Linked DNA regions of Drosophila melanogaster. The gene in region 1 interacts genetically with each later gene. Each region holds a gene or a part of one and is shown in the gene's direction. Other genes may lie near its edges.

The links.
Region 2: of Nprl3 (region 1) and Nup44A, changing one suppresses a phenotype caused by changing the other (phenotypic suppression), as found in Drosophila melanogaster (one study listed by BioGRID).

The regions. Positions count from the first base shown.
Region 1 is NT_037436.4:13,994,075-14,009,217, reverse strand, and holds Nprl3 (nitrogen permease regulator-like 3), read left to right. Parts: upstream 1-7,337; 5' UTR 7,338-7,428; exon of another isoform or gene 7,429-7,573; 5' UTR 7,574-7,591; coding exon 7,592-7,725; intron 7,726-7,784; coding exon 7,785-9,483; 3' UTR 9,484-9,838; downstream 9,839-15,143. Other genes in the region: upSET, read right to left, coding at 1-1,368; CG17359 (uncharacterized protein), read left to right, coding at 10,036-11,055; CG17361 (uncharacterized protein), read right to left, coding at 11,380-12,012; CtsK1 (cathepsin K1), read right to left, coding at 12,748-13,358, 13,438-14,427, 14,818-14,866. UniProt on the Drosophila melanogaster protein: An essential component of the GATOR subcomplex GATOR1 which functions as an inhibitor of the amino acid-sensing branch of the TORC1 signaling pathway.
Region 2 is NT_033778.4:7,982,256-7,997,941, forward strand, and holds Nup44A (nucleoporin at 44A), read left to right. Parts: upstream 1-6,206; 5' UTR 6,207-6,254; intron 6,255-6,276; exon of another isoform or gene 6,277-6,372; intron 6,373-7,260; exon of another isoform or gene 7,261-7,459; intron 7,460-7,576; 5' UTR 7,577-7,697; coding exon 7,698-7,808; intron 7,809-7,869; coding exon 7,870-8,307; intron 8,308-8,403; coding exon 8,404-8,612; intron 8,613-8,672; coding exon 8,673-8,979; 3' UTR 8,980-9,028; downstream 9,029-15,686. Other genes in the region: ACC (Acetyl-CoA carboxylase), read right to left, coding at 386-752, 2,626-2,747, 2,811-3,196, 3,347-3,506; Dic3 (dicarboxylate carrier 3), read right to left, coding at 11,639-12,089, 12,260-12,672; Hey (Hairy/E(spl)-related with YRPW motif), read right to left, coding at 13,406-14,208, 14,950-15,164, 15,578-15,686. UniProt on the Drosophila melanogaster protein: Probable component of the nuclear pore complex (NPC). Involved in maintaining the localization of another nucleoporin Mgtor to the nuclear envelope of early meiotic female germline cells.

The DNA.
Region 1 (15,143 bases):
GGTCATCTGAGTTCCATTGACGATCATAACATCATCGGTTATCAGTGAGGAGTTCGCTACAGCGTGCTGCTCATTGTCGCTACTCCCGCTACTGTTGTAGTGGGTACGCTTTGTTGCCTGCTGCTGTTGGGGGTGCTGCTGGATAACTGTGCCATGTGAGTTGACAAACTTAATAGTTCCTCCGACGGCGGCCTGAGACTGCTGCAGAAGATATCCTCCTCCGGTGACATTCGGCGACGCTTTGTGCTGCAGTTGCGTTCCCTGCGGTAGGCTGATCTGCTGTTGCACATACTTGCTATTCAGTTTAGTTACCTTCGCGGGTGTCGACGTGGTGACCATTGACTGTTTGGCGTAGGTAGTTTGCTGCTGCTGTTGGGGCAATGCAGCAATGGACAAGGCAGTCGTCTGTTTCACAAACTTTGCCTTGGCCCCCGCCTTGTAGGTTTGCTGCTGTTGCTGCTGCGTGATAAAGGTTTTTAGCTGCTGAGCCTGTAGTAGTTGCTGCTGCTGTTGTTGTTGCTGCTGTTGTTGCTGTTGTGACATATTGCTAACACTCTTGACCGTGATCTTTTGATTGGCCTTTTTGAGCAGAGCAGCATTCCCACCTATCGTTGTCGCCGTGGCATTCACATACTTTGGTTGCGCCGGCTGCACCATTATCTGCGACGGTGATGCCGGGACGTACGACTGGAGACGGGTTGCCACTCTGGAGCCCAAAGTCACTTTCTGTAGGGTAGCATGAGGATGTTGTTGCTGCTGCTGATGTTGCGCCTTAAATGCGCTGATGCTGCCAAACTTCTGGGGCTGCTGCTGCGTCTTAGCCGGCGACGCACTCACATACGGCAGACTCTTGGCTCCCAGATAGTTGAGCTGCTGCTGCTGCTGACCGGCTGCTCCTTGGACTGGTGCCTGTTTGGAGAGCACAGTGAGATTACTAAGCAACAGTTTGGAGTTGTGCGGTGGTGCCGCAGCTGATGCGTCAATGATGACGTTGCTGGTGCTACCGTCCGTGGTCACAATCTTGTAGATCTGGGGATTAATTAGCTCCTGACCGGAGCTCCCCGAAGAGGCTGCCCCCGCAGCTAAAGCTCCGGTTCCGGCTGCTGTACGCACCGCGTACTTTTGCGACTGATTGATCGACTGAGACTGGCTGGCGCTAAGGATCTGGCGCGTACTTATCGACATGCGACGTTGCATGATGCGCAGTTGTGCCTGTGTGGACAAGCTGCTGCCATCGATGACGATATGAGGGGGTGGCGGCTGTGGCCCACTGGCTACTCCGATGCGATTTATGCTGCTGGTGCTGCCGCCGCCACTGCTACTGACAGCAGGCTCCACGAAAACCGAGTCGTGACTGGACATGGGCATGGTGGTGGTGCTGCGGCAGTTTGGTCCGCTAACTAAAATTAGACGTGTGTTTACAGGGAAGGAGCCTTGGCTCGGCTTGAGAGTTCACTCTTTTGATAGAGTATGGTTTCGGTCTCGATTTAGTTTCTATTTCACAACACTACTTCACAGATAAAGCCGTCATGTTGCTGCCGGTTCTGCTGATGCAGATTCTGCTCCTGCTGTCGCTGGGCCTTTGTTGACGTGCCCCCAAAACATTGGGGGCTCAATGCATAACCTCTGGCTCTGGCACGGATGACGGAAGCTGAAACTCCCAGTGGTGACAACTGTAGGCGTAGGCGGTGGTGCGCGCTCGATTTGCATAGACGGTGTCCAACTCTGTGCCACATCACATTGTCAGCCATCACAATCATAACGCTGGGAGAGATTCGGCAACTTCCACTGCGTGCTCCCCGGCTTCTTCGCTTTTGCGTCCTTTGTTTGACTCCCTGTATACGGAGCCTTATCCTAAAGCTGATCCAATCTCGCAAAACTAATAGTCCCGCCCAATTGATATTGCGTTGTTGTCCGTCGTTGTATGTTGGATATTGAATTCTTTGGATACGGTCTTTCCATAAACGATATTTCGTTGTATCTGCAATGAGTAAAAATATAACTATTAAATATAGGCCATACAGAACTATTAACAATAAAAAGTACCAATTTAAAAATTAATTCTTAGCTGTTTTAAACAAAAACGTGGTAAACAAACAAATGTAAAATAATGTTAGAAAATAATTAAAGCAAAAAATTAAAACAAGGATGCATATCTTCGGATGTAAAGTTCAGATTTTATTTTCTAGTGTACCACGGGTACATTGCCTTTATCGATAAAAGTTAAGGAGCTCATCTCTATTATCCAGGAGTAGCATTGCCAACTGCAAATCAGATTTGAGTTATGTAACAAAATAAAAAGCACAGCACTGCCAACGGGCGCCAAAAATACGCATGCGCACTTCAAACATCAATATCCGCGTTTATTCTACGTATGTATTTTCGTCTACGCTTTCGGAATGTGCTTCGTGGTGGCTGCTGCACTTGCTGTAAACTTGAACGCAGCATCACGGAGCGGAAAAGTGGAAAAGCAGCGAAACAGCAAAGCAGAAACAGTGTGAAAGGTGCGCCAAAGCTAAAGCAACAAAGGGATTGTGCATTGTTTACACTTGTGTGCGTGTGCCTGAATACGTGGATGTGTGTAGGTGTAGTGTGACCCCCCTGGCCAATAAAAAAAAGCACTAACAACGTTTAGCACTTGTTCATTTGGCTTTTGTGGAAACAAGTTTTCCTATTTTGCTTTTGTTTATCCGCATCGCTGAAAGGCTAATGCAATTTTCCAACGCAATATGCGTCCCAAATCAATTAATAAACATTCGACTATTTTACAAGTTTGCTAACTTGATAAGCTTTGTAAAGGTTAAGATATTACATGTTCTTATACTATGGAATCTACTATTGGGTCACTAATAAATGATTTTTTAATAATTTAAAGACCTTTCATTTTCTATCATTGGAATCAATTTACTAAACGTTTTTAAACGCTTACACCTCAAAAAACGACCGTCTCTGAAAGATGTCGACATTTGCCAAGTACTGCCACTGTTCTCTAATTCTCTAATTTACTGCACATTCCGGGCGTTTGCCCCGTCATTCGCATTGCAAAGCAGAGAGCCAAAGCAAAAAAGCAAAGCGGAGCGAAAAGTGAATGCACTAATTTCGCCTTGGCATCCGGCGCGGCATTCATCGCTAGTAGTTTTCTTCTTCTTGTTTTTCTGTTGTCGTTGCTTTTGTCGCTGGCTTTTTAGTTTCTTGTATCTATTACACATTACACAGGCCACTTGCACTTGGGCATATCTGCCATATCCCACCTGCGTGTGTGTGCGACTGCTTGTGCGATTGTGCTGGCAGCCAATTTGCGCCTATTGTAGATACAGTTTCTAATTGGAATAGAGAATGGGGAGCAGCGCAATTGATTCCCCAATTGAATAGTAAATCTGGGAACGAAATGCTTATGTAACCATTGGGTTACTGCCTATAGATTGTGGGATACAAGATGCAACTACATATGTAAAGGCCACCACCAGGTTAATCGATAAAACTGATTTTTCAACTTCAAGCTGCGTTTTGATAAGCCAGGATGTTGAGCTTAGAACTCTTTGATAGTGACTGTGGTATGCATTTCTCATTTCCGTTACATGTTTTGTTTCATATTTCTCAATGGGCCACAAAAGATAACGCCACACATAGAGCGGTTGGGGCTGTCGTAAATTTTGATTTGGGTTACAAATACACACACTAGCATCGACGCTACATCTCAACATTTAGAAAGAATCTTACAATGCTCTTAGTTAAAAATACACACGAAAGAGCGAGGGGCGAAGGAGAATTTGGTTCGCTCATCGTCGGAAAGAAGGTGAACTACACTCACACACACGCACGTGTGCGGGACCAACCCTACCCCAACCCCAACAAATACTACAACAACAACAACAACAACATCCGCAAGTAAAATGCGCGCCATAAACAAATTACACACAAGCTCACACAATAAGCCCCATTCGCGCGCATTATCGGTTCGTGGGTGTGAGCAAGACAGCAGCAGATCCCCGTAAATCGTGCCTGCAAATGCACGTTGAAACTTATCGCGAGCACACAAACACATGAAAAGTGGCCACGGTGCTTTCGTACAGGGGCGGTTCCAAGGGGGTTCATTTGGGATATACATATGCGCCAAAATCTAATTCATTATATCAACAAAATATTATCGAAAGAATTAAGTTTTGTTTGCTGTTTTCTTTAAATTCCGAGAGCTTCCCCGCAAGCAGGATTTTTAATCCGCCACTGCTTTCGTGTCGTTTTTGTTGGGGATTTCTTTTTGTTGCTATGGCTTTTGTTGCATCGCTAGATGAAGTAGAACAAATACAAAGCTTATCGAGGCTCGCAGACGCACACATCTAAACGAGTGAGTCGAAAAGAGAAAGACTCCTATTGTGATCTACGGAATAAAAATGAACCTACAATTAAAAATAGTAATGCTGCTCATATTAGCTTGTTGACCAATGGACTACGTGACTGCACAATATCAGGGGCATTGCTTTGGCTGTACTTTCATTGAAACAGTCGCCAAGCGTAAAATGGGTTTTAGTTTTTGCATACCAGCTACAAAGTGTCAACTTTAATTGCGTCTTATTTTAATTCACTTGCTCGCTAGTTCTGGTCCGTCTAATTCGGTCAATTACTAATCAAGAATTGAGACTGCATGGGATTTTATTATGGATATTACACCATTAAAAAAATCTGTGGGGTTGGGAGGTGGTTTTAGGGGGTTGTGGCGGTTTGGTTTCGTTCCGCGACAACCTTTGAAATTATCGAATGGCTTAGCTTTCGCGAAATAATATTTTGACGATGGTCTTGTCTGCGCTGCGCAGAAAATAACGAAAGCCGAGCGCAGGCAAAAAGTTGTCTATCAACTTTTGCTTTCATTTTGTGGCGAAAATTCGCGCGTACAAAGCACAAGGCATAAATAACAATTGCAAAAATCACGTATGCGCAAAGAGCAGAACAGGAACATTCGAGCAATGCCTGTAAGCGAGAGCGAGACCACCATAGCTCTCCCCACACACACACTAACACTTAGCTATGTTAACTGCGGCCAACTTCACGGCGTACAGGCGTGTAAACGCTGGAGCACGCAATAAAAAGTTTGACGAAAACAGGGCGAAAGAAAATAAAATAAAAACTATATAGCTCTGTGCTAACATTCTGGATAATGGGAACAACATGGCGTCGTCGATATCGTTCAACTAATTCTCATCAACTTTAATTTCACTTTGCGGTCGATTTGTTGTTAAGTTTTTCCGACTAGCTGATGCGCATGTCAAAATTTTGGTAGAGACAACAAAAACACTGCACGGCATACACATTGCAATCCAAATGCGGAGGGGTGTGCCAAATCGAAATATGATTTTAATACTGATTTAGATAATCTCCTTAGAAACTCGAGCAAAACAAACTAAAAACAACTTGAAATTTAACAAAACAATTGCTTCGGGTTGGCAACTCTGTGCGAGGGGCATAATACGCACATCTACCTTCACGTTGCACAAAACGGAATCGAAAGCAAAACAAATGAACCCGCAAAGCTGTGCGAGCGAGCACGCTATACTGACGGTTAGTTGAAAAAAGAATATGCAATCAAATATGGCGACACACAGTATGCAAAAAAAAAAACCATACAAAATCGACGCATCAACAAATGAAATATTTATTTAACTGGCTCGACTCAAAATAAAATCTGAATTTCATATATATGTGATCCAATAGATATGTATAACCCATTCGACTGTATATTTTTCGATTCAAAATATTTCCGATTTGGGCGCGCACTCACATACAAACACACACACTAGTTTTACTCACCGTTTACTCTGTTATTTTGAATTTTCACTTCATTTTGCACAACTTAATTTAATTTAACGACAAGCTACGTGGTTTATTTTTTATTTCGAAACTTTATATTTCAATTTTATAAATACAAATTAAATTTGTATACACTTTAACACTGGTTCTTTTTTGTTCCGTTGCACATTGTTGATTTGCAGCATTTAAGTGATGGCGCGACGTTGTTTCGAACGTTTACTACCTGCACAAATTAAAATGTTTCTACTTTGATTAATCAATTTTATTATTATTAATACCGTATGGCACAAGAAGCAGAAGACAAAACGCGCAGGAAAACACATAAACTGGGATTGCTTAAGACGTGTGTAAGAGCGAGACGACCAGTCGGTTTGAGCAGACCATATAGCTAGTGTGACCGTTCTAGCCTATGGACAAGACATGCCAACTGACTATTATCGCCTATTTTATTTTGTTCGCCTGCCCTGCTTCTTCTTCTTGGTTTTTGTGTTGCGCTGTTTCCCTGTTTAGCCTATTACTACTGCGCCTGGCCATTCCGAAATGCTGTACGTACATATTTCGATTTCGCCTTTCCGCCTATTCGTTGATACCCACACAAACGTATATCTGTGCATGCCTTTCTACGTAGGTATGTGTAAAATCTATACACACGGATGTTGGCGCACATATACACAAAAAGTAAAATAGTTATGTTATTAACTATTTAACCACAAGCTATTTACATTTTAGGCACTTATTAATCCTATTTTCCAAAATACAAGGAATAGATACAGAAACGAAGACATAGTAGAAAAACAAACCTACAAGTAAATGACAATTAGTTGAAATTAACTTATTGGCCACCATACTGCCGAAGAGTGCGAAACTAATTCAGAAGCGAACCACTCAGCCAAGTAAACTATATTTTTTTGTAGAATTAGTTATACCTCTCCTACACTCACACAAATATTATATATATGTATATATAGACCGCGGCTAGTACACGTTTAGCGTCGTCTCGCTCCCACCTACGATCCGCACGTATTTTGCCTCTCACAATGTGTGTGTTTTCCTCTTTTCCAACACGCTAATAAGAAATCGTCATTTTTAAAAGTGCTTTTACAGCCAAACTAACATGTTTCACAGGGGAATTTCATAGTTCTGCGATTGCCGCGTTCGCATACTACGCTCCCAGTTATTTTCACAAATTTTTTGTTGACGTTTCGAGCACAATTTCCACACGTTTTGCTCACAACTTTCCGCTTCTAAAAAATTAGAGACTGACCAACCGAAGACGGTCACACTACAGCGGAGCGATAGATCGTTATCGCTCGACCAGGGATCCTATACTATTAGCCTTGCCGATATATATTTATTTATATAGTAAGACCGTTTTTCGTTTAGTATTTTTTAGTTTTTGAATATATTATCTAAGGTATCTATGGTAAATTTAAACGATTTAAAAAAATTCCATTGCGTTGCATTTATATTATTGTTTCGCCTGCAAAATGAAAACTGACATGACTACTATTTTAAATAAGTTTTTGGTATTTTATGCAAACTAAAAGAGAGCCACACTGCTGTAAATATATTTTATATTTTACATTTATTTACTTTGCTTCCATTTCTCAATGAAGTCAAATTGAGGTACTAATAAATAAATAAAGAGTTGTTGAGGTAGTTTCTGTAGCAAACTACGATTTATAAAGTATTTTTGAAAACATAGCCAACTATTTGTTGACCCTGACCCCAGTTGATAATGCAAATGTTCATATTTTAATTTACATAAAAGGGGAAGTGTCTGTGTGCCATGGAAACTAATGTGAATCCCCTGGCCGTAATCCTGGTTTACTTCGATAGCAAGGGGGATCGGTTACTGTACAGGTATCCGTACCAGACTCTCGGCCAAACGGAGGTGGCCAACGACGAGCAGCGGAAGTCCAGGTACTACCTATTAATTCAAAGGGCACTCAGCTTGACTATACCGATTTATTCAATCACAGAAAGCGCAATCCCTATGCCGTGGCCAATACGGACGATCTGCTGCAGACACCCACCCACTTGGGTGCTGCCAAGAGCCAAGGACAACTGCAGGGATTCGCAGATGAGGTCCTGTCCGCTCTGTTTGCTGTTAAACCACAGCTATGCAACCAAAAGTTTGAACTCAAACTGAACGACGTACGCTTTGTCAGTCATCCCACTCTGATACCGCAAAAGGAGCAGAGAAGTGGTCCAATGGCCAAGCAACAGATGCTCATCAACATTGTTTTTGCGCTGCATGCACAGGCCAGCTACTCGATTGTTAAGTGCTACCACGAACTGAGCAAGCGCCTTGGACTGGCGCTGAAGTTCGAGGAGCAGCGCAGTGGCTATCTCACCGAGCAGACGGCTCAAATGGCTCGCACACACGACGAGCAGCAGCAACAGCCGCTGGAACGCACACTGGAGCTGATTGCAGAGCGCTGCAGCTTGGCACAGGCCTTGCGCTCCATCTTCCATGATCTATGCACCACTGGACTGCTGAGTACCTCGCTGAATCACAACCTAACGTTGTGCTTCTGTCTGCCCGCTAAGGCACACCAGCTCCATAAGAAGGGCAGCATGGTGGATCCAGAGACCATAGATCGGTGCCTTCGTGCACTGAAGCCCTATCATGGCATGTTGCTGCTGGTCGACTTTGCCGAATTGTTGGACTGCGTTCCACCGACTGGGGCACGCATGCTATGGCAGCTAGTCGACGTCTACGACCCACTGATCAGTCTGCAGAGCATGTCCTCCAATGCAGACTTGAGTATCGAGCATGTTTATAAGCTCGTCTCGCATTTGGTCTACTGGGCTAAGGCAACTATTATTTATCCACTCTGCGAGACAAATGTCTATGTGATCGCGCCGGATGCACCATTGCACACCAAGTCCCACCTGGTGGAGAAGTTCTCGGCCCGTTTTGCCGGTATGTCGCTGTTCGAGGTGATCTCCGATTTTTCATTGCCCACTTCAATTGGACACTTAACCACGCCACTGCAGCAGCCAGCGCGACAGGGTATCCTCGCACAAATGGTGATTTGGATGCTGCAGCACCATTTGCTCATGCAGTTGCACACGTACGTTCAGTTTATGCCCAGCGAGGATGAATTCGGAGATTCGGCCTCCTGCAGCAACCATCTAAGGGATGCCATTAGCGATGAAGAAGGAGACCAAGAACCAGATGCGGACGAGTTGCATGGCTCCATGCTTAGCATGTCCAGTCATCCGTTGCCAGTGCCAGCGGTATTGGTGGGCGGACATCGTCGTGAGGCGTCCGAGGACCATTCATCACTGGCCTCGGACAACATCGCCGTGCAGCCATCATCCAGCCACAAGTCCAATTTCAGCATCACCGCCTCGATGAGCACGGACAATTGCGACAGCCTCGATTCCATGGAGGATGAGCAGAAGCTGAAGGAGCTGCTACAGGTTTTCAGCGATGCGGATCGAGCCGCCATCCGTCGAATTCCCGCCTCTGCCAACGTGGATGATCTATCTCTGCTTGTGAAGCTGTATCAGATGGGTTACTTTAAGAGCGAGCATCATCTGGAGGAGATCATGTACTTCGAGAACCTGCGACGTTCGCAACTGCTGCAATTGCTTGATAAATTCAGGGATGTGCTTATCATTTACGAAACCGAAGATCCTGCAATTGCATCCATGTACAATACCAAGTAGAGTTTGGGACGAATTTGCATTCCTAGATTTTAATGTTGAATGTTTTTGTTTAGTTTTTGAATATAATCTATAAAATAGGTATGCATCTAATTTTGTAAAGTTTGCGAAGCAAATCAATTTACGCTTGTAGACTACATATTTTGTTATTTATTTGTACAAGCAAGTTCTTAAGTTCAATTCAATTATTGTCAAACTATGTTTTTCCGTGATTTCATACAAATTCAAAAAATTACTCATATTCAAAACAGCGTTACATTTTAAGCTTCGCGCCCATTGTACAGCTTTAAGGTATATCGATAAGTGGGGAATATTCTGATGCTCTAAGAGCCAGATTAAAATAAAATATTTAAAAAATACGAAAAACCCATTTTTAACTTAAAAAAACAACTTTAAATCATAAATCAAAGCTGATAAATTAATAAGATGCGAAGCACAGCTGATTATTCGGTATTTTTTTGTTGGTATATTCCAGTGATTGGTATTTTAATAGTTGCATTTTGTTGATATTGTATATTTTTGATCCTGCCTACGAAACTCTGGAGCTCGGCCACGATGGACATTTCGCAAATGTGCCGCGTTTGCAGGGACGAATCCGACTGCCTGTTGGATATATATACAGAGCCATATGCCTCCTCCAATCGGGTCCAGGAGCAGGAGCCGGTCTTGGCCACAATGCTGAGGGAATGCAGCGGATGCAGCGTGCATAAGGAGGACGGAATGCCGCAGTTCATCTGCGTGGAGTGTGCGGAGGCCGTAAGAAATGCCTATCGGCTAAGACGGCAATGCCGAAAGAGCCATCAGTACTTTGAACAGCTGCGTCTGATGATGAAGGAGCTGGACGATATAGAGTATTGCCTGAATATAGGGGATAACATAGAACCACAGATGCCGGTCTCGGTAATGGAAGCTGGTAAAACGCCGGAGACATCCGAACCTCTTTTAGTTGAGCTTGTGCAGGTTAAGTACATGCCTCCAGAGCCGAAGCCAATATCTTCTCCTCTTCCAGACAACAATGAGCATAAGCTCGCGCAAAGTTATTCTCCAGCAAAGACGCCACACAATAAGTCCAAGAGGAGGGCGAGATCCTACTCGGACAATGACTCATGGAGCCCGGATAGTGAGCTTGAACACGAAGATGATGATAAAATCTGGAACGCCTCAAAACGGGGCAAACCGAAAAGGGTTCCCGGACCATATCGGTGCAAGCTCTGCACACAGTCGTTCACCCAAAAACAAAACCTAGAGATTCACATGCGCATACATACTGGCGAGCGACCCTACAAGTGCTCCCTATGTCCGCGATCCTTTGCCCAGAAGGGCAACCTGCAGAGCCACACACGTTGTCACACCGGCGAGCGTCCCTTCGGTTGTCCGAACTGCCCCAAGCGCTTCCGGCAAGTTGGGCAACTGCAAGTCCACACCCGGACTCATACTGGCGAACAGCCGTTCAAATGTTCCAAATGTCAGCAAAGCTTCAAGCAACTAAACGGCCTACAAAAACACATGTCAGCACACACGCGAGGGAAGCGACGGACGAGCAGCCAAGAAACAAAAAGAAATAAGTTTAAATAGTTAAGATTTGTTAAAGGTATTTTCATATATTGAATGTCCATATAATAATTTCTTGTTTGAAATCGACAAAGCTAGTAATCGCAACCAAAGTGAGAAAGCTGCTTAAAAACTGTTGTGAATCGATCCGATTATCATTTCTTTATTATCTTATTGTCAATATGAGAACATGAAATTGTTTTTAAAACTACACTCCATATGTACTTTCATTATTAGTCGCTAACTTGTTTCTACTTTAAAAATATATCGAACTTATTTTTAAAACGATGATACAAGATGATTAATTACTATTTTAGTTGGCTACATTTTGCCAAGCGTTGCCAAGGACTATTTAAGAGCTTTTCGTCTGGTCCTTGTGGATCCTTTGGTGTGGGTGCGCCTGTGCATGGTCAACTGGGCCTTGCCGGTGAAACTTTTTTGGCAGTCGGTGCATTTGAAGGGCCGCCTCTTATCCACCTCGTTGCGAGTCTCCTTCTTCGGCTGCTTATCGTTCCGGTCCCCATCGTCCTCCTCCTCCTCCTCCTCGCTCTTGATGCGATCCGTAAAATCCCAATCCTCGGCCTCCAGGAGATCGCATGTCTCCTTGTCGCTTTGCTCCCTCTTCACGCGCGCCACGTATTCCATGGTCCTTGTGTAGCGTCTCCTGAATCTCAAGGCCTCACGCAATTTAATAAGGCACGGTTCGCAAATTTTCAGCGGAAAGCCGTCCCCGGTATCCACTGGATATGCGCTGCAGATATTCAGCAAATCAGCCGGCGTGGGCTCCGGTTCCTTGGTTCGCTGTAGATCGTCGCTCAGTCTGTCCCCCAAGCTCTTGTTGTCGTAGATGTCTAGCAGGTCCTTCGGCTCGTCCATACACACCCGGCACATCTTCACCAATTCATCCATGGCTTCGTTGCTTCCTTCGATTCCAAGCAAATACAATTCAAAAAGAATAACTAAACTGTATCGGATGACCATCAAGCCAAAACAGAAAAATACCAATTGGCGCAATTCCAGGGATGCAACATCTATGCCAATAAATATGTATTTAAATTTAGACTTATTTGTTGTTATATCAAATTAACTTATAAATATATTATTTAAAATGAACAATTAATCTAAAATGAAATGTAGTAGCAGTGAAAATTGTAGAATCAGTTGAAAGTATTCTTCATGTTATATTTTTAATTTATTTTAATTGAAAAACTGTAAAACGGGTTTAATGTAAAAATTCAATGCTTTGCTTGCAAGTTTTTTAAATAAGAAGGTATACTTATTTTTAGAATCATTATTCAAAGTAAAGATTCTTAAAACTAATTATATGTTTAATTTAATATTGATGAAATTAAATGATTAAAATTTTTAAAAATGTAGCGAGTTTTTACTGTAGAAATGATTTCCACTACAAATGGCAAAGACCCCGATTCGCATAAAACTGTTGCAACTTGCGCAAAGTTCAACTGGTAACTGGTCATTGTCTTCTAGGCTTATCGGCTTATCGGCATGGAATTAACTTAAGAAACACCATGGACTGCGGAGATAATGACCCAAGCTAAACTTAGCTCCATTTCCAGCCAAGCGGAGCAGTGATAAGATTCAAAAGACTTGGATTACAAAAGAGTTTATGAAATGTATTGCATATTTAGCGCCCTGTGGGCGTAAAAATAAAAAGAGTACACAAAATAAGAAATATGTAGGCGGGAGCGGGACAATCTACATCTCCACATAAGTGGGCATGGTCATAACACCGCAATTGTTCTTCTTGGCCGACATCAGGATGTAGCCATCGTTGCCCCAGTAGGTGGACCACGAGTTCTTCACCAGCCAGTAGTCCTCTCCATTGATCGAGCCATAGCCCACGGCCAAGACAGCATGATCCAGTCCATCTACATCGTTCTTGCACGTTGGCTCATAGTAAACTCCGTGCGAGTAGAAGCTAAATGTCTTGGGAGAAGCATCAATGGCCACCGACAGAGGACCGTGCTTGAGCAGAGCCAGCTTGAAGGCATTTGGATCGTTGGAGGTCACATTGACGAATCCCTTAATAGGTGCCACCAGCGTCACGTTGTTGACGTGACAGTAGCCATCCTGGCCCAGATAGGGACCGTACTCCTCCTCCGTGGGCACTCCGCCGGACTGCAGCATCCACTGGTACACGCGGAAATCCTCGCCACCATCGCAGCCATTGTTGCCATAGGCCCACGAGCAGTCAATCAACGCCTGCTGGGAAAGCCGGACCAGATTGCCGCCATTCTTCAGGAAGAAGGCGCCCTCCAGGTGACCAATGGTGCCAAATGACCAGCACGATCCGCACACAGATTGATCTAAGGGTAGTTTACGTTTTAAGCAATTCAATATTATCAAATTCATCTAAGTAAGTACTTAGGGAATGAATGAACCCACCTTTCACCGGAGTGACAGCGCCGTATAGCCGCCAGTCGTACTGGTCGGGAATCTCGTCCTTGTACTTGGGCACATCATAGGGGAACGGTTTGCCGGTGTTGTAAATGCCCGATGATTTGTATCCTCGTCGTGCCTTCAACTCCTCTTCGGTCTTGTCGGCCAAGTGATTAACGGCCAGCGTGTAGGTGAGTTTGGCCCTGTTCTTTGAGTGGATGTAGCGCAGGTTCTGACGGAAGATGTTCTTGCGATGCTCGTGTTCCGTGTCGCTGTGATAAGCAACTCCGTGCTTGCGCTTGAAATGGTGGAAGGCCTTGTCCACATGCTCATCGGTTCCGGATATAAACTCCTGCATGGGATTGAAGGTGGCATAGTGACCGGTGCCGGGTCCGGGGAATCCGACGCACTGCAGGCTGTCATCGATCTCGAACACCTCGTTGGGAATATCATCGTGCTCGTAGCTGTCATAGTCCAAGTAGTAATGATCGTAGTGCGATCCCAGCAGGGTGTTATAGCCCCTCATCTCGTAGCGCACGGGAATGGGCATTCGGCTGGAGGGATAATGCGGCGACTTCTTGTACCGCACCCACAGCGTATAGATGTTCTTCTTTTGGCCAATTGTCGACTCCAGGCGGAACTTGTCGCACGTGTAGCCCAAAAAGGATTCGGTGCCCACCAGGCTGAAAGGTTTCGCATCGGGCAGGATGCTCTGAATATCGACAGCCTGGTCGGCGGTGCCATTCACCTGCAGACAGGTTAGCTTGTTGTTCTCCGTCTTGGTGGTAATCGGTGCCAGCTTCAGCAGGGTTCCGTACTGACCCTCGCCAGCCAGTTGGTATGTCTTCACCATTCCGCCGTAGTAATCGATGCGGGATCGCCTCGTATTCTTGTCATACCAGGCGTAGAAGGGTTCCGCAATCTCGGCGTACGGAATGTACAGGGTTCCTTTGACTATGTAGTTTGGATCCCATTTCGGCGGATTCGTGGCATTAGCTATTGTCGTTGGCGAAAGTGTGGAGAGATTCAGATGAGAAATGAGCGGGAACTTGACAATAAGAAACGGTAAAGGGCAGCCATCGAGGTTTAAGCTCACGCCATTGCTTATATACTTCGTATATATACAGCTGCGGTCAAAATAGCAGTACATGCCCTTTTACGTTTATTTGATCTAATTTAAAAGTTTAATAAAAACATGTTCTTTTTACTTTTTAAATATACTTCATGGCAAAAAAAATGATGATAAGCTAAAGTTTCAATCCTAAAACGATGACCTCGATTGTTTTAATATATGCATGTGTGCATTAGTTTAAAGCGCACACAAACGCAGAAACAATTACTCTTTGTTTGGCTAAACACTTTAGCATTCTAACGTCTATAACTCACCTGAGAAAGCCAAGCCTGCGAGCAGGGCTAAAGCTAAAAACACTTGCATTCTTGAGAATTCACCAGAGAATTGTCTGGAATATTAATTGATCCCGACTCTAGTATACTACCTATCTTTTCGAAGAATTAAACTGTTCTGCCGGCTCAATAGTCCGATTGCTTTAACAACAACTTTCTATGGGTGAGGAGATAACGCCGCCGTGAAAAACATCGGTATTAATCGGTTGAAGAGCTTTCTAGTTTGTAATAAGAGCTTATCAAAGTTCTTTGCTTTTTGTCATGGTAGTATTTTATTCTACAAATTATTCGCAATTCTATGTAATCCG
Region 2 (15,686 bases), on another chromosome or scaffold:
TTTTCACAAAATACCTTTAAATTGCATTCGAGCATATATTATATATTTCGGAAACGGGACTGGGCTGTAGATCGCTAAAAACTTCTCTACCCAGGAGTATGTTGTCTAATTTTGTAGCACAGTGTTGGCTGACACACACACACAGTTATCTGCTTAGAAATGCCGGCCGTCTCGTAAACACACGAGTACATATTCGTATACGAATAGGGGGTCTCTTTATTGGTATGCGGGGCGATCGCTTGACTTTGCCAGTTCCCCCGATTGACGGAGTGCAAATACGAATCGTACGATGCGTTTTGGGTGGAGCTGGCCAAGGCAAATAGACAACTCGGCACAGCCGACACTGGCCACTTCTATGGCGGTGGCCCCCAGATTCCGGACTCACCTGCACTTGGGTGCGAAGAGCAATGTCCACGATGAGCTCGACATTGGCGTAGTTGTTGTTGTTCGATCCGCCGGGCACGGGCACATAGTGATCCGCCATCTTGATGTATTCGGCATTCGCCTTTAGATCCTCCGGAGTGACCATCACCACAAACCTAATGGCCCGCTCGTTCTTAAACATTTCGTACGCCCATCTCCGGATGGATCGCATGCACTTGACGGCCGCGATACCGTTGTTGGCAATCAGGACCTTGTTGATCACTCGGGTGCCGCCAAAGCGCTTCACGAACTCCTCGGTGGTTGCGATGTGGAAGTCGCGATCCTGGTGCCGGTCCTGGCCCAGCCCTGTGCCACGCGACATACTCGGCCTGGAAGAGGTCAGGGAAAGGAGAGTTAGTTAGTTGCTGGGATATAATGTGGGAAAAACCGGCCTAAGATTTCAATTGAGAATATAGCTATATAAGAAACTGGGTCATAAACGTGGTTGTAAAATTCCAAGGAATTACTCTCACCTTACTTTGAAAAACATTTTTTTGAGCTTTCAATACTTAAAGATGATGATTTCAATGTTTGCTTAGATCTTTTACTATATTACCCAGCCAAAAGTTAAGCTTTGCCTGCATCACCAACTGAACCCTGAAAACACTTTTCATGCTGGCCAGTGTAAGTTATGGCGCGATGGGACAGGTGGCGAAGAAACGGAAGGCACAATGAGATTTGACAAACCGGTTTGGCTGACATGATCAAAAGATCTGCACATAATTCGCTTTTGTTTACATCTTGTCAACTAGTATCGCGTTGCAATAAACAAATGGGGTATTAAACATGGCATTTACTTGAGGGTTCCCACCACGGGCACACTGAGCAGCGATGGCGACGACTGGTTGTTGGAGCTATTGTGATTGCTGATGCTGGCACTCATCTCGCCGACATGGTTGTTGTTGCTCTCGTTCTGCCCGCAATCCACAGCCACAAATTGGGGTATAACCGCCGTTCCCACTCCTGATCCCGAGCCAGAGCCCGAGGCCGAGCCGGAGCCGTTGGCATTATCTTCACCGGACTCAACAAGTACGAAACGCTTGCTGGCGCGACGCTTCAACATTCTAATGAGCTCCACGAGGGCCAATAGCATCCAAAGTGAACTCTGGCAGGGGGATCGTCGTGGTGTTTTAGCGGCTCCTCGCAATTATGCAAGTGTGACTAATAAGCGAGCCGCTCACAAAATATTTTAATGCCACTGCACCACTTTCACCGCGCTCCGCTGGCCGAAATATTCACACACAAAAATCAATGTCGAACGATGGTCCGCACACGCGAGAAACTTATTTGGGAAACGGGCTGGGTCTTGGGGTATATCTGCCGTACTTCTGGGGTTTGCGGAAAGCGGATTGCGGACCGACAGAGCCGACGACTGCCAGGGAACTGAACCGCAGAGCGGTGTTGGCCACCATCGCTCATACGCCCCGTGGGCCGGAGAAGCGGAGAGAGCCGCTGAGCGAGCCAGCCGCTGGCCAAACGAGTTTTGAACATTATATGAATGAAAACAAAATGCGGCGTTCCCACATGGCACTCTCTATCTCTATTGCCGCCACTTTTCTCTCCATGTTTGCGCACCGCGAAAGTTCTCGGAAAGCTGGGTGAGAGACTGCCTCCCACTCGCACACACGGTCGCGAGCTTTTCGCTGTCTCTTTTCCCTAAACTCACGCGATATGTTTGGCGGCGTTTGGCTGTGACGCAGCCACCTGTTTTTGTTTTGCTCGATACACTCAGCGCAAATGTGGGCGCCATTGGGGATGGATTGCATATCTTGAGCTATAAACGCTTCAATTCTCAAGTGTCTAAATGAAAGAATAGCTTTAATTGAAGTGGATGGGTTGCCAGATTCAAAAAGTCCTAATCTGCAAGCATTATGAAGATAAGATTGGGAGGAAATGCTGAACTGAATCAATTAAACTAGATTAAGCGCTATTTGTTATTGGATTTCTAATTTAAATCAAAGAAAACATGATGATATACAATAGCTTGCTTAGCCTATCATAATCATATGAATAACAAACTAGATTATTAAAAGTCCTCATATATATCCTTATGCTATCTTCAATGTATTTAATTCTAAGTATAAAGACCGCAATCTCATTTAAGAAATTTCTGTCTAATAAATGGCTTTCTATCCACAACCATAATGTACTTCTGATGTTTTCTGTCCCATTTTCATTTGGGCTAAACCCAAATCGACTTACCTTAACCGCTTGCGCCGCTCGGAAATATCGCCATTCTGGCGGACATCGTTCTGCATCTTCAGGGGGAACTCGTCACATGCCTCGCCCGCCTCGGCGGCCCGCTCGTCGATCTCATCACCCACCTGTGGAAGGGAAACGGTGGCTGAGTGATGGTGCCAAGAGATGGGAAATATGATGAATCGTACCAAAAAGCTGGGCCGCTCGCCCTCGGCGGATTGGGCGGCCGTGTCATTGGACTCATTTGTTTCGCTCATCTTGCTGATGCTGATGCTGATGTCGATGCTGTTGTTGTTCTGGTTCTTGTTGATGCTGCTGTTGTTGTTGTTCTGGTGGCAGGCAATGCGAATGTTGTCGTTGCTCAGATTGCTGAGTGCGCTATCCTTCAGCTGGTCGCACAGCTCATCCACGTCGGACCGGAGGCTCTCGCTGGAGAACTGGACCTTCTTGATGCACGCCTTGGGGAATCGCTTGTCACTCGCTTTTACCGCCGAAGGAGGTGCTGCTGGAGCAATAGGAGGCTTGCTGCTGGTGGTTGTTGCCGTTGCTGTAGCTGCAATCACGCTGGAGTTGTCTGTAAGCAGAGATAAGGAAAACAAGGTACGCGTGAGTCGTGGTCAAAAGTCGTATACACATAATGAACTAATTAAACTGGGTTATCAGCTAGGTGTGCGATTTGTGTGCCCTTCAAGTGTTTCGGTTTAGCAAAGTGGGGGATTCTTACGATTGGTGTTGCCGTTGTCGCTGTCGCCAGTTGTTGCTGTCGTGGCGGATGTTGCTGCAGACGATTGGACGGGTTTGGATCTTTTCTGGCCGCGGCCAAAGATCAATGTCAAGAGGAATGCGAGAAAAGCAGCCAGAGTGCCTAATATCGTGATCAACATCGGCTAAATCCAAAAAGCTGCTTTAAATCGGTGAATGCAAATCGGATTAGATAATCTGCTATCTGGTGGCCAGCTAGCTGGGTTAGTTTACAGTGTGTAGATAGTGAAAGTGCCTGTGCATCATCTTGTTTCGGATACTTTTCAAGTTCAAAAACCTTGCCACGATATTGTAGGCCAAAGCGGCGAAACAAAACAAAATGAAAATGCTAATCAATGCATTAACTAGTTTGCGAGATACAATTAAGAAACCGAAAAAACAACCATATGAGACCCAAAAATAAATCGTTGCCAGGTCAATGAGGCAGCTGATAAGAGATGTGGTCAACGAATAAGGTATACTCTACGGGAAATTCAAACTAATCTACAGATCAAGCGGGTGACTTCAAAAGTATGCAATAAGTATTTCAAAGTACGTTGTAAAGGCGCAAGTGAATATTATGTTTAGCAACTACGTAATTAGTGACAGGTGTCGAATTACGATTTAATCAACACTATTACACCTGCATATATCACTTGAAAAGTTTCAATCTAAGTACATATCAAAGTTTTCAATATACTATACGAAAATACAGGAGCTCAAGCTGTTTCCGGGTCAAAGATGGCTTCACTACTAAATAATCTACTTTAGATACCCTTTGGCAGGGCGATAAAACTTAAAAACACGAAAATTAATTTCGGATATGAGGTTCAATGTGCAGCGCATTTAAAATTAAAACAAAACGGCGAAGAGCGCGAAGGGAAAATTGAAGAAACTTAAGCTGACAGAAACAAAACCCCCCCAGTTGGTTGGTTGGTGTGAGGAAATGCAAATCGGTGTGGTATGGCCAGCAGAAGAGGTCAATGATTTTGGCATTACAGTATACATGTGTGCACGTGTGTAAGTGTGCCAGCCAGGCGGCGGGCATTGAAAGACACGGAAAGTCGGATTGGACACCGGAATCGATCTCTGGCAACCAGCGGGGTGTTATGTAACCGCTTACTCGGAAATCGCGCAGAGAACTGGGACTTGGGTTACACTCTGCGCTGGAAACGACTCAACAGGTGTGGCCCGGTCCCGTACTCAAGTAGCTCCGTTAGTGCGCACCCTCGCAATGGATGGAGTCTTTTAATTGTGCTTTATTTACCACCGATCCTGTGATAAGAACTCTGCTGGCATTACTCAACAGTCGAAAACAAAAGAATCTTACTCGACGTGCGATTATCTCTAGGGCAGCACTTTTCGGGACCTTGGCTGGATATGATACGGTTGTGTTTTGGGTTTAGTTCGTCTTAGGATTTAGATCTACGGTTTCAGCTCGCTTTACCACTCTGCGTGTGCCCTTGTTTAGCTTGTGATGGCAGTTTCGAAGACGAGGTCGGACCGGATCGGATCGGATTGTAGTAGACCGTGTAGGATCGGTTTGAACTTCCTAGACTGACTGGTTCCGCACGATTTCTAGATGGCTACTGCAGTGACCGACGATTGGAACTCAACTGGGCCATGCTCGTCCGAAAAGCACTATCGATGCCTGAACGCCGCTTCTCCGAACGCGCAGCGGACGCCGACTTCGGCGTCGCCACTATCAATATCAACTATAGCTATAGCTTTGACTACGTCTACGGCCAGGTTTTCGTGCGCGGACCTGTGTTTGTGCGTGTTCAGGTTGTTGCGCTCGTATGTTAATCGCCAGCGGGTCTCGCGGGTCGCCAAGCCAATTGTTGTTGTTGTTGTTGTGTTATTGTTTTGCTTATTGCTGGCTCAGCCAGCGCCAAGTGACCAGGAGGAATATATGTGCACTATGTACTACATAAGAACTACATATGTACAAGGAGCGCCACTAATTCGAACAGAAAGGCGGTCGAATTAAGCGGGGCAACCTGCCGGATTAATAACAATTTTTATGAAGGTGGCTCAAGTAATGACGACCAGTGTGCTCCGTCGGTTTCAGTGATCTTTTTGTGAACCAATTATGCCATAACAATGTCCGAATAAATAAATGCTGGGTACAGTGGCACCAGAGAAATATTTAACAAAATCATTTCTTTATTGTCGTCAGTGATGAATAAGGTTTCTGTATATACCGATTCAACAAGTTCTGGAATAACTACAATGACATTTTGTTTTATATTGGATTTTTTGCGTAGTTTCCAAACTAAAAACTCATAAAAACTAACCATAAAAGCATGCCCTTCCAGCGGCAATCGCAATCAGCTTAACATCAGTGAGTTCCACTATAGGAAAGTTCCACTGTTGCACAGCAATTATACCTTAACGGTCTGCGGCTGATAAAAGATAAGAGCGACATGATGATGGCGATCAGCTGTTGCCAACAACCGTCTACCCCTCTCTGTCACTAGCAGTGCGTCCCGCTCTTTTCTCTTCCATGTATCTCTGTCTCATGGGCGGCGGTAGCTTTTCAATGTCAAGGTCGCCGATGGCATTCGGTACTGCTGTTGTTGTTGTTGCTGCTCCAGCTGGACTTAATCTGGGAGTTGACCCAACCGCTGACGGAAATGCACTCTGCTGCTGGGAGCAGCAAGCAGCAACAACAACGACCATAATTTCTCAATTTGCTGGCGTAAGTGGCAAGCGATGCTGATTAGGGTTAAATGGGCGAAAACGCCAGAAATTGATTAGCGCGATGCACTTGAATCGAATTATTATTAACGAATTCAGTGCGCTGCCACGAGCAGAACACGCGAACGCCGCTGATTTGTTTTCATTCCGTGATGCTCGCTGCTCCCGGCATCAGCAGAGGTTTTTTAAAAGTCATAAAAGAAATTCCCGACGCGACGCCCGCTTTAATCTCAGATAGGCGGCGAGTGCCTGAAAAATCTTCCGATTTCGGCATTGGCCTTGGCGACCGATTATGATTAATACTTAACGGTGACGGGTCTTCATGGTTTCGGCTCGGGCTCAATTCCAAATCTTTCCCGGCATCTTATCGCACGGAAATTTTTGTATTTCGGTGTTCGATTCTGTTCGAATTATTCATGTTTGGCGCGTGGCCAGAAAAAAACCGTCTACTGATATCACAGCCAAATAATAATAGAACCGAAAGTCGGTCGCGTGTGAAACGCCTGATTTCGATGTGCTTATCTCTAGGATTTCTACAGAGCAACAAACAACCGATTTGTGCGTGATAACACACTTGAAATCTTGTAGACACTGTAAAGTGCACGGTTTACAGTTAAATTGTTTTTTAATTTCTTAGCAAAATACTACGAATTTGTAGTGACTGCGTTGGATTGAATTTCCGATTCGAGTCCTTGTGATATGCTCATATTTCATAAATATACTTATATCGTATTTATGCAATACAATACCAACAAGAAATGCAGTCTCCAATTTAGTTCTTATTAGGTAATTGATGCCGGCCGACATACACACACGTTGGCAGCTATGCTGCTCTCTCGCCCATACACACACACACACATACGTCACGGGCATCGCGCGATGTGTAAAATCCAATAGGAATCAAGGTCAGCAGCGAGTGCGCGAGCGAGAGAGGGCGAGCAAGGCAAGACATATTGAGCATATTGCAGATGGAAGCAATTGGAATTTATGCTGCCCATTGCACTTTGATTGAAATCCGCACTTTAGCCAGCGAATTCAAATGCTAAACAAACGCGGGTCCCGATCTACATACGACTATGCTGTGGGGTTGTTCACCCCACTCATTTGCATACACATATGCGCATACATTTCGCTCGGATCGTATCGTATAGGATCGGGCCGTAATTACCCGTTTAGTGCTTAGATTACCGCACTTACTCTTCTCCATCGCACTGCGCTTCGCACGTTTCTTTCGGTTGGCAATTTTGTTGTGTGTAACTGTTCTTTTCCGGGTGCAAAACGGCCTCTTGGCGGCTATTGGAGTCCTGACTCTCCGACTAGTGTGGTTCTCGCGAATCCCGGATGGGCGTGTGGCACGGCTGATACGTTATCAGCTTGTGATCGACTAGAGTACTGTGTTTTGTTATTTTTCGCTCGATTTTTTATTCGTATTTCACGCGTAATTCGGACCACTAACTCGGTGTGACCGTTCGCCTGGGCGTACTGAAAAAATACTGAGCAAGGTAAACAACAGCTGTTCGGCGGCTGTTTGCAAGCCAACCCTGTCTCTCCTTGTAGGGCTGCATTACCGGCGCAGATTTTTCGGCGCGTGCATTTTATAAACAACATTTCGGTAAATAAGTTGAGTTTTTATCATGTTCGACGTGGAACCCATTATTGCCGACCACAAGGATGTGATACACGACGTGGTCTTCGACTACTACGGCCGCAGGATGGCAACCTGTTCCAGCGATCAGACCGTCAAGGTGAGGACTCGAATTATTCCTACGATAAACAGCCTAGGTGATCCGGATTTTCTGCTTGCAGATTTGGGACGAGGATGGGCAGGGCAAGTGGAATGTCACGAGCAGCTGGAAAGCGCACTCCGGCTCCATTTGGCGCGTTTCCTGGGCGCACCCGGAATTTGGCCAGGTTGTGGCCACATGCTCATTTGATCGCACCGCCTCCGTTTGGGAGGAGGTGATTGGCGAAAAGGTATCCTCCACCAATACCCCCACTCGCCGCTGGGTGCGCCGCACCACCCTTGTAGACTCGCGGACCAGTGTCACGGATGTGGAGTTTGCACCCAAGTACCTGGGACTCCTGCTGGCCACCGCCTCCGCCGACGGCATTATTCGCATCTATGAGGCCCCGGACATTATGAACCTCTCGCAGTGGCCCGTGCAGCACGAGATTAGCAACAAATTGCCGCTGAGCTGTTTGTCCTGGAACACTTCCACTTACATGGTCACCCAGCTGCTGGCGGTGAGTATATTTAAATTCCAAGTCTTAGTCTATTAAGGATTAATTCTATTATCTGTGGAGTAAGAATAAGCCTAATTTTCATAAATTATTTTGCAGGCGGGCAGCGACGAGGCAGCCACGCCTACTGGCAAGGTCTTCTTATTCGCCTACAGCGAGAATTCCCGAAAGTGCGTTAAAATCGATACTGTCAATGATATAACCGATCCGGTCACGGATGTGGCCTTTGCTCCAAATGCCGGACGCACCTTTCACATGCTGGCAGTGGCCAGCAAGGATCTTTATATTGTGAACTTGCGGGGTGTAACGTAAGATCGACAATTTAAAGACCCAAAATCATTTAATAATAATAATTTTTATAATTAAAGGGACGCCACGGACATCTCCAAGTTGGACATCCAGACCATTAAGTTTAGCGAGCACAATTGCCCAGTGTGGCGCGTCTGTTGGAATATGCTGGCCACGATGCTGATCTCCACGGGCGACGACGGTTGTGTGCGTCTGTGGCGAATGAACTACAACCGGCAGTGGCGCTGTGCCGCCGTCTTGAAGGCAGAGGGCAGCGGACCCACCTACGAGCCTGCTCCGCCCACTCCGACACTGGCCACTACCGCCTCGGCCACGGCCAAGTTCTACAAAAAGGGCACCATCGGCAACCAGGTGCCGTGGCACTGATCTTGTTCTTAATTGTAAGAGTTCCGAATAAATTCCTAAGTTAAACCTCAGCCGCTTGCCTTTCAATATGAGTGGTTTTCTTTAGTTATGTTTAGAGTTCACGGTATTAATGTTAATGTTATTAATGAAGTGAACTATCAATGGGTTTACGCATTATTCAATCGTTTTAAAGATTCCGTGGAACGATAATTTTCTAGAAAAATATTTTTGATTAAACTTTATCTTGGTGCCACCATGAACCAAACTTATATCACTGTGCGGAATAGTCCACGTAGTGTTCGTCGCGCACCAGAAGACACAACGAATCTTAGTAGTCCCGAATCATGAATCAATAAATCTACTCGGTTATTGTCGGATTGTACGTTTTGCTATAAAGTTGGAATCGCATCATTTGCGTAATTCGTGGATACTTCCCATACGAAATGGGTCTAAACGAATATTCGGAAGGCCTGTGTGTTTTGATACCACCACTTACATCTCGGATTAGAAGCCGGCATTCTTGCGAATCCAATGAATAGCTTTCTGGTCCACATTTCCCCAGTTCAGTGTTCCTCAGATCGCTTTTCCTAGGGCATTTTCGCGTTACATCACAAAACGTGGAGCTCTCAATGCTCCAAAGTGCCAGAAACTAATAAAAAAACAATGGGATGTTACTTCAACTTCTGCCTGCCGGCTGGCAAACTAGAGCAACTATTGATTTTGGACAACTTCCCGAAAGGCGAAGAATCAAAACAGAATTAAAGTTCACACAACGAGAAAGAGCGAGCACTAGAGATAGTGACTATAATGGCAAGCACTCTCCATACGGTCACATGTGTGTGTTTGAGGGAGAGCGGCAGATCTGATGTGCTAGCTATTTTAAAAAACCCCATGGCACAGGCCAAATCCGAGATAGATCCATCCCATTCGAGTGGGTCGGGACCAGCAGAGGTGAGGAGGAAAAGGCATTTTCGGGTTCAGTGGTTGCATTCAAATCGATTTTATTGAGATTTATTTATGGGCTATGTATTCTCGATTAACTCCTCACACGGGAGTACATAAATGGATCATAAATCCCTTTCAAGTGCACTTCCATTTACATTCCATCCACATGTGCATAAATTAACTAGGACGCCGACAAGTGCCCAAAAACAGGGTTTTTATTATGTTTAACACGGAAAAGCATTCAGAAATGTCGCGAAATATTCCACTTAATTGACTCGAACCGCAATAAAAACGAAATCATCGCACTTTCGATGACACCACAAAACTATAATAATAATAATGATATGCAACCACCCCTCCGCGGGCTTCGTCCTTGCGATCCTGTTGCTCTGCTGGTAATCCAAAGAATGAAATCCGTCCGACCAGCTCGATGGCTTTTGTAGTCACCGATGAAACCACCCCGGTTCGGTATCACAAGTTCCCTGTCCCAGATCCGAATGATTGTCTCTAATTGGAAGTTTTGACGTGTGTATTACGTCGAAGGCGATGGTGTTGACGCCGATCTCTGGGCCAGGACGAACCACCCCTGTCTGGGGCATATTGTAATCGCTGGTGGGTGGTGGTTGCGCTGCTCGCCGCGTGGGAAGTCAAAGCTCAGGGGTCTCTCACATGGTCGCGAACGTGGTAGGTCGCCCGAATCACTTATATGTGTTTAACCGGCAAAAAGAAATTAATGCGCAAAAGATTGTTTCTCGTTTTTTATTGCCAGGGGTGGTGTTTCGCAATGTTCCCACACTCCATGGACAGCAATTTCGGTTGCTGGGTTTCAATGTAATTGTAATTTTGGTTTCAAGTGATTTTTGTGGGCCAAGAGAACAAATTACAAGTAGCTAAAGTGTGTTGAATTAAATTAAACTATGAGCTCGGGATTTGCGATAAATATTTCAATTCTTAAGCATGCGAATTGAGGAAATTAACTTAGAATTAAGTAAAGGTTTCTAGACTAGCATTCCTAACAATTGTTTCATTTTGCATTGCATTGTTTTTAACCGCTTTTCATCTAATTTCTGGGTCATTAGAACGTTTTGCTCGTTAGTTTACCATTGGAACCAAAACAGAAACCCTTTTTTCGGGAACATGTTGAGCAGCTTAGGTAGCCACCAGTCCCTCTAGAAACACATTTGGCCTACGAAAGCACCCTAAACTAAACTAATATGCCAGCGTATATTAAAATATTTTAACCCTGCTACCTTTGTGACACTGTTTCCCTTTTGGGGATTATGTTTCTGGAGCAGGGACAAGATCCTGCGGTCGCCAGCTTTCCAGTTTTCCTCGATAATTTCCCGTTCCTCGTGGTGTTCGGGGTTGCGACCCCTGCACCTTGCTAACCCCGCTCCCTAATTACGAGTGCAGCGAGTGTGCAGCCGGCTTAGCTAACCGCCGCGGATTGGGTGCTCATGTGTTTATTATTGCTGGGTATGCAAATTTCATAAACCGTGAGCGGCATTCATTGACCCCCAGAGCTCGCTGACCAGCGGCTAGTGGTCGGTGGTCGATGGTCAGCGGTCAGCGGTTCTCGTTGGTCCAGCGATGCTAATGAGCACAGTGGCTGCTGATTAGACCCGGATTACTTCCGATTCAATGGTCTGGTATGAAAGATTCTATATTTTCAAATCACGTGTATAAAATACAATTTATGTAAAAATGCCAAATGGATACGAATTTTGGGGCATCCCTACTTGTCAGGTGGCAGATATCCAAATCGCATTCGCGCCTGCTCGTACAAAACGAAGGTGATAATCGTATTGGGTGACACTCGTATCAGGGCCGGAATGAATCCCTTGTAGAAGGCCAATGGGCCCTGTTTGGCGGTACTCAGAAAAGCACCTCCGATCCCGGAGAACTCCCCCGGCTGGGCGTTCATGAAAGTCGTCTTGATCACATCGAGCGGCTGCGTTATCACCACGGCAATGCATCCAGCTATCGTGGATGTGGCAAAGTGCAGTGGTACTCCCTCTCCTGCCCCCGTTGCGATCTTGAGCATCTGCTTTACTTGGTCGTAGGCTGCATTCGTTCCGATGGTCAGCAGGACTGCCCTGGAAACGGCCGGCACTGTGCCGCGGAAGAGACTGGACACGCCCTCCTCTTTGTAGATGCGGAAAAGGCCGTCGAAAACGTGCTTGTAGCTGCGGAATTCGTCTTAATTATATGACTCGTACGTATGGGGGGAAGAAATTTGCTGTCCTAATGACTAATTATCAATAGCAAACCAAAAAAGCACGTGGAGATGAAGACAAACGAACAGATGGACAAAGTCTGGGAGATCTATGGTACAGGAGCCCCCGGTAGTACTCACTTACGTCGCTTCTCCTCCGGCAACTTGACGTCGTTCTGGAGTCGCACTGTGACCACGTCCCCGGGTACACCCACAATCCCACCGACGATTCCCGCAAAGGTGGCCAGGGCCATCTTGGAACTAACTTTTTGCGTGTCGACGTAGTCCTTACCGGCCTCGTACAAGGCGAAGCGAGTGGTGGTATAGGTCAGCTGGCGAAACCAGGAGGCCGAAATGCCATTGTAAAAGCCCAAGATTCCGCTCCGCTCGTGTATGCCTTTAAGGATCTCCCCCACGGTCTTCCGGTCCGCTTGGGATTGGGTCTGCAGCTGTACCTTGATGAGATCAATCGGATGGGTGCCGGTGACTGCGATTGCAGCGCAAACCCCTCCAAACCACCAGCGCGGGAGGCGCCTCGAACTGTCTTCTCCCATAGACCGAACTTAATTTCTTGGAATTTTTTTTTAGAAACCCTAAGCTATCTGACGTGTAAAACTAAAAAGAATTCGGTAAATTTTTCGCTGCAACGAATTGTTCCCATTTAGCTAAGGATAATTCAGCCGCTATGACGGCGAACTGGTAGTCCTCGCAGTGACAAAGCGCACCTCAAGAATGTTCGTTAAAATTAATATTTTCTCTGATAATCCAATAATAGCACTAATCAAAGTATGCGTCATTGATATACCTCAAATTTTTGAATGTGGATCGTCACTACTTGTTTAAACTTTTTTGATTGTTTTTAATAATTATACCCGTTACTCGTGGATTATATATATTCTTATATATTATATATTATATATATATTTTTGATCGGAATCAATACCTGATTCAATCTGGCCATGTCCGTCTGTCCGTCTGTATGAACGTCGAGATTTCACGAAATATAACAACTAGAAAGGCTTTCCTGATCCGAATATCAATTATCAAGCGAGTTTCAACATATTCACTTATACACTCATGCGTTTATTTACAATAGATTCACAAAGTGTTCAAAGTTATAGTTATCATAGGGTATAACTTAAGCTTAAAGGCTTACGGGACTAGCTAATCTCACTGCGTTGTTTCTCCATTTTTTTCTCTCTGTGTAGGATGCGAAACTTAAGACTATCACACTTGGTCTGCTCTGACTAGAGGTTGAAATATCCCTTCTGAGGCTTATGCCCACAATCAATAGGCCATCTCGGCGCCCCAAGGACGATAGGGCTTTGCTCCGTTGGGAGTGGCGTACTGCAGCACACTGGAGTTGTTGTAGTCCTGGCCTGGCAGTCCGCTGACCGGATACTGAGGAGCAGCACTATAGCTAAGGCTATCGGAACCTATGGCCGCTGGACGATTGCTGTTGGTCAGCTCTATGTAGGTGGGAACCTGCTGCTCGGAATGCACTGCGCTGTGGTCGTGGGTATAGTGTTGCTGCTGCGTCGGCTGAGGTGTTGTCTGCGTCCGTTGCTGTTGCTGCTGATGCTGCTGCTGTTGGTGTTGCTGCTGCTGCTGCTGTTGCTGCTGCTGTTGCTGCTGCTGTTGGCTGCTGCTGTCAGAGTGGAGATCATGGCTGGGCAGCGATTCAGTTACGGCACTTCCACTTGTCCGCGAGACACTGGTGCGTCCTCCCAGTTGCTGAGCCTGCTGAGAGGGCGAGGCACTTAGTGTGGGGTAGCTGGACACATAGGCACCCGGGTTGGCTGGCGCCGCATAGCTCTGGTAGGGAGCAGCCGCACAGTTTGGCTGATAGCCGGAGGAGCTGGGAGCAGCCGGAGACCAGCCACCCGGACTGGCGCAGCTCTTGGCCGACAGTTCGCGCTGCTGCACAAAGTACTGGAGGTGGGACATAAGGCGCAGGCGCAGAGGATCCTGAATGTCCATGCCCTCGATGGTGACCAAATAGCGGGCCACCTCTGCGGCGCACTCGCGGAACCCAATGATATGGTAGTCCATGGCCACTCGCTGCGGATCATAGCTAAGCGAGTCGAGAGCTGCAACAAGATACGAGGAGGTGGAGAAAGTCAATAAGCTGTCTAATCCCAGTTCAGGCAAACAATTAAAATAGCTGTTCCCACGCGACGAGCATAAAGAACAACCCCCATGTCCTTCGGCGGGATGGCTTGTTGTGAGGTGGCTATCGGGGGGTGAAAGCCCGCGCCTGGCTACAAGGTTGCCATCGTGGTGGTGCCGCTACTGAGCGTGGGAAGCCCCGAGATTCGAGATTCACTTGAGCGCTAGGCTGGCGCTGGTGGTGGTGGTCCTGCTTTGCCTACGGCAATCATAATTTTCCCACAATTCGACCCTGTTCGGGACAACAGGTCAGGATTGTTTACCCAGATTTGTGATAATTTGCCGCATATTGTATTTAATATCGTTACTCAATTGTTTCCCACAGCGGCTTGCGTTTAGGGATTCTGCTTGCAGTTTTTCCCATTCCAATTTTTTATAATGTATTGAAGTTCATATGTATGTCAGATATGCCTTGATTAATTAGTGCGCTAAATGGGCCCTAATGTAATATTAACTGTCGAAATAAGAAATTACTTTCTTTACACTTTACTTCTTTTAGTTAACCAACTTAGTTGGCTGCCCAAGTTAACCCTCTATTTGCTCCTATTGTGATTAATGACCCATAGAAGCGTTTAACTTCAGTGAGGAGGTCTGTGGTGCAGCTAGCCTATTTGCTTTTTAAAACCTCTTTAAGCTAGCTCAAGTGGGCTTGGTAAACTTACTTTTAGACTGCAGACTCTTGAGATGCTCCACGGTCAGCTGAAGGATTTCGGCCTTCTCCAGCTTGGCGGATCCCTGCTTCTCGTAGGCGGAGGGCACCAGGCGCTTGAGTTCGGTGAGCGAGGAGTTGATCCGATCCCGCCGCTTCTTCTCGATCACTCCGCGTCGCTTCTTGCGGCTCATCAGTTGGCAGCTGCCCGGCTCACTGGGCGAGATTCTAATGGAACAGAGGAAAGGGTTTCTATTAGCTATGGATTGAAGTTAATGATAGATTCTTAATCTTAATATCTTAATCTTTCATAGACTGAAAAACACTCTATGGTGTTACTAAAAAAACCTCTAAGTTACAGAACATTTTAAAATCTATCTTTTCTTAAAACCCTATAGTTTAGTGATTTATATTTTGATGGTTTATCAGCAACTTTGCGTTAAGTGGAGTTATCCATGACTTCGATTCACTAAGTAAATATCATGACGCACTATTTTTTTTAGCAACATAAAACGTTTGCACATCGCATGGTATTTTCAAAGGTTTCATTTTACAAGACAACTCCTAACTTGGGAACTGCGAATAGCTTTTTGTGCACTAAATTGAAAAACAAATTTTGATAAGAAGTCACGAGTACGCACTGTTCCTTGGAGGACTCCTCGGAGTAGAGATCGTCGCAGTCGCTCTCGGAAAGCGTCCGCTTCAGGCTGCCGATGCCGTGGCTATGGCCCTGGCTATGCCCGTGGCTGT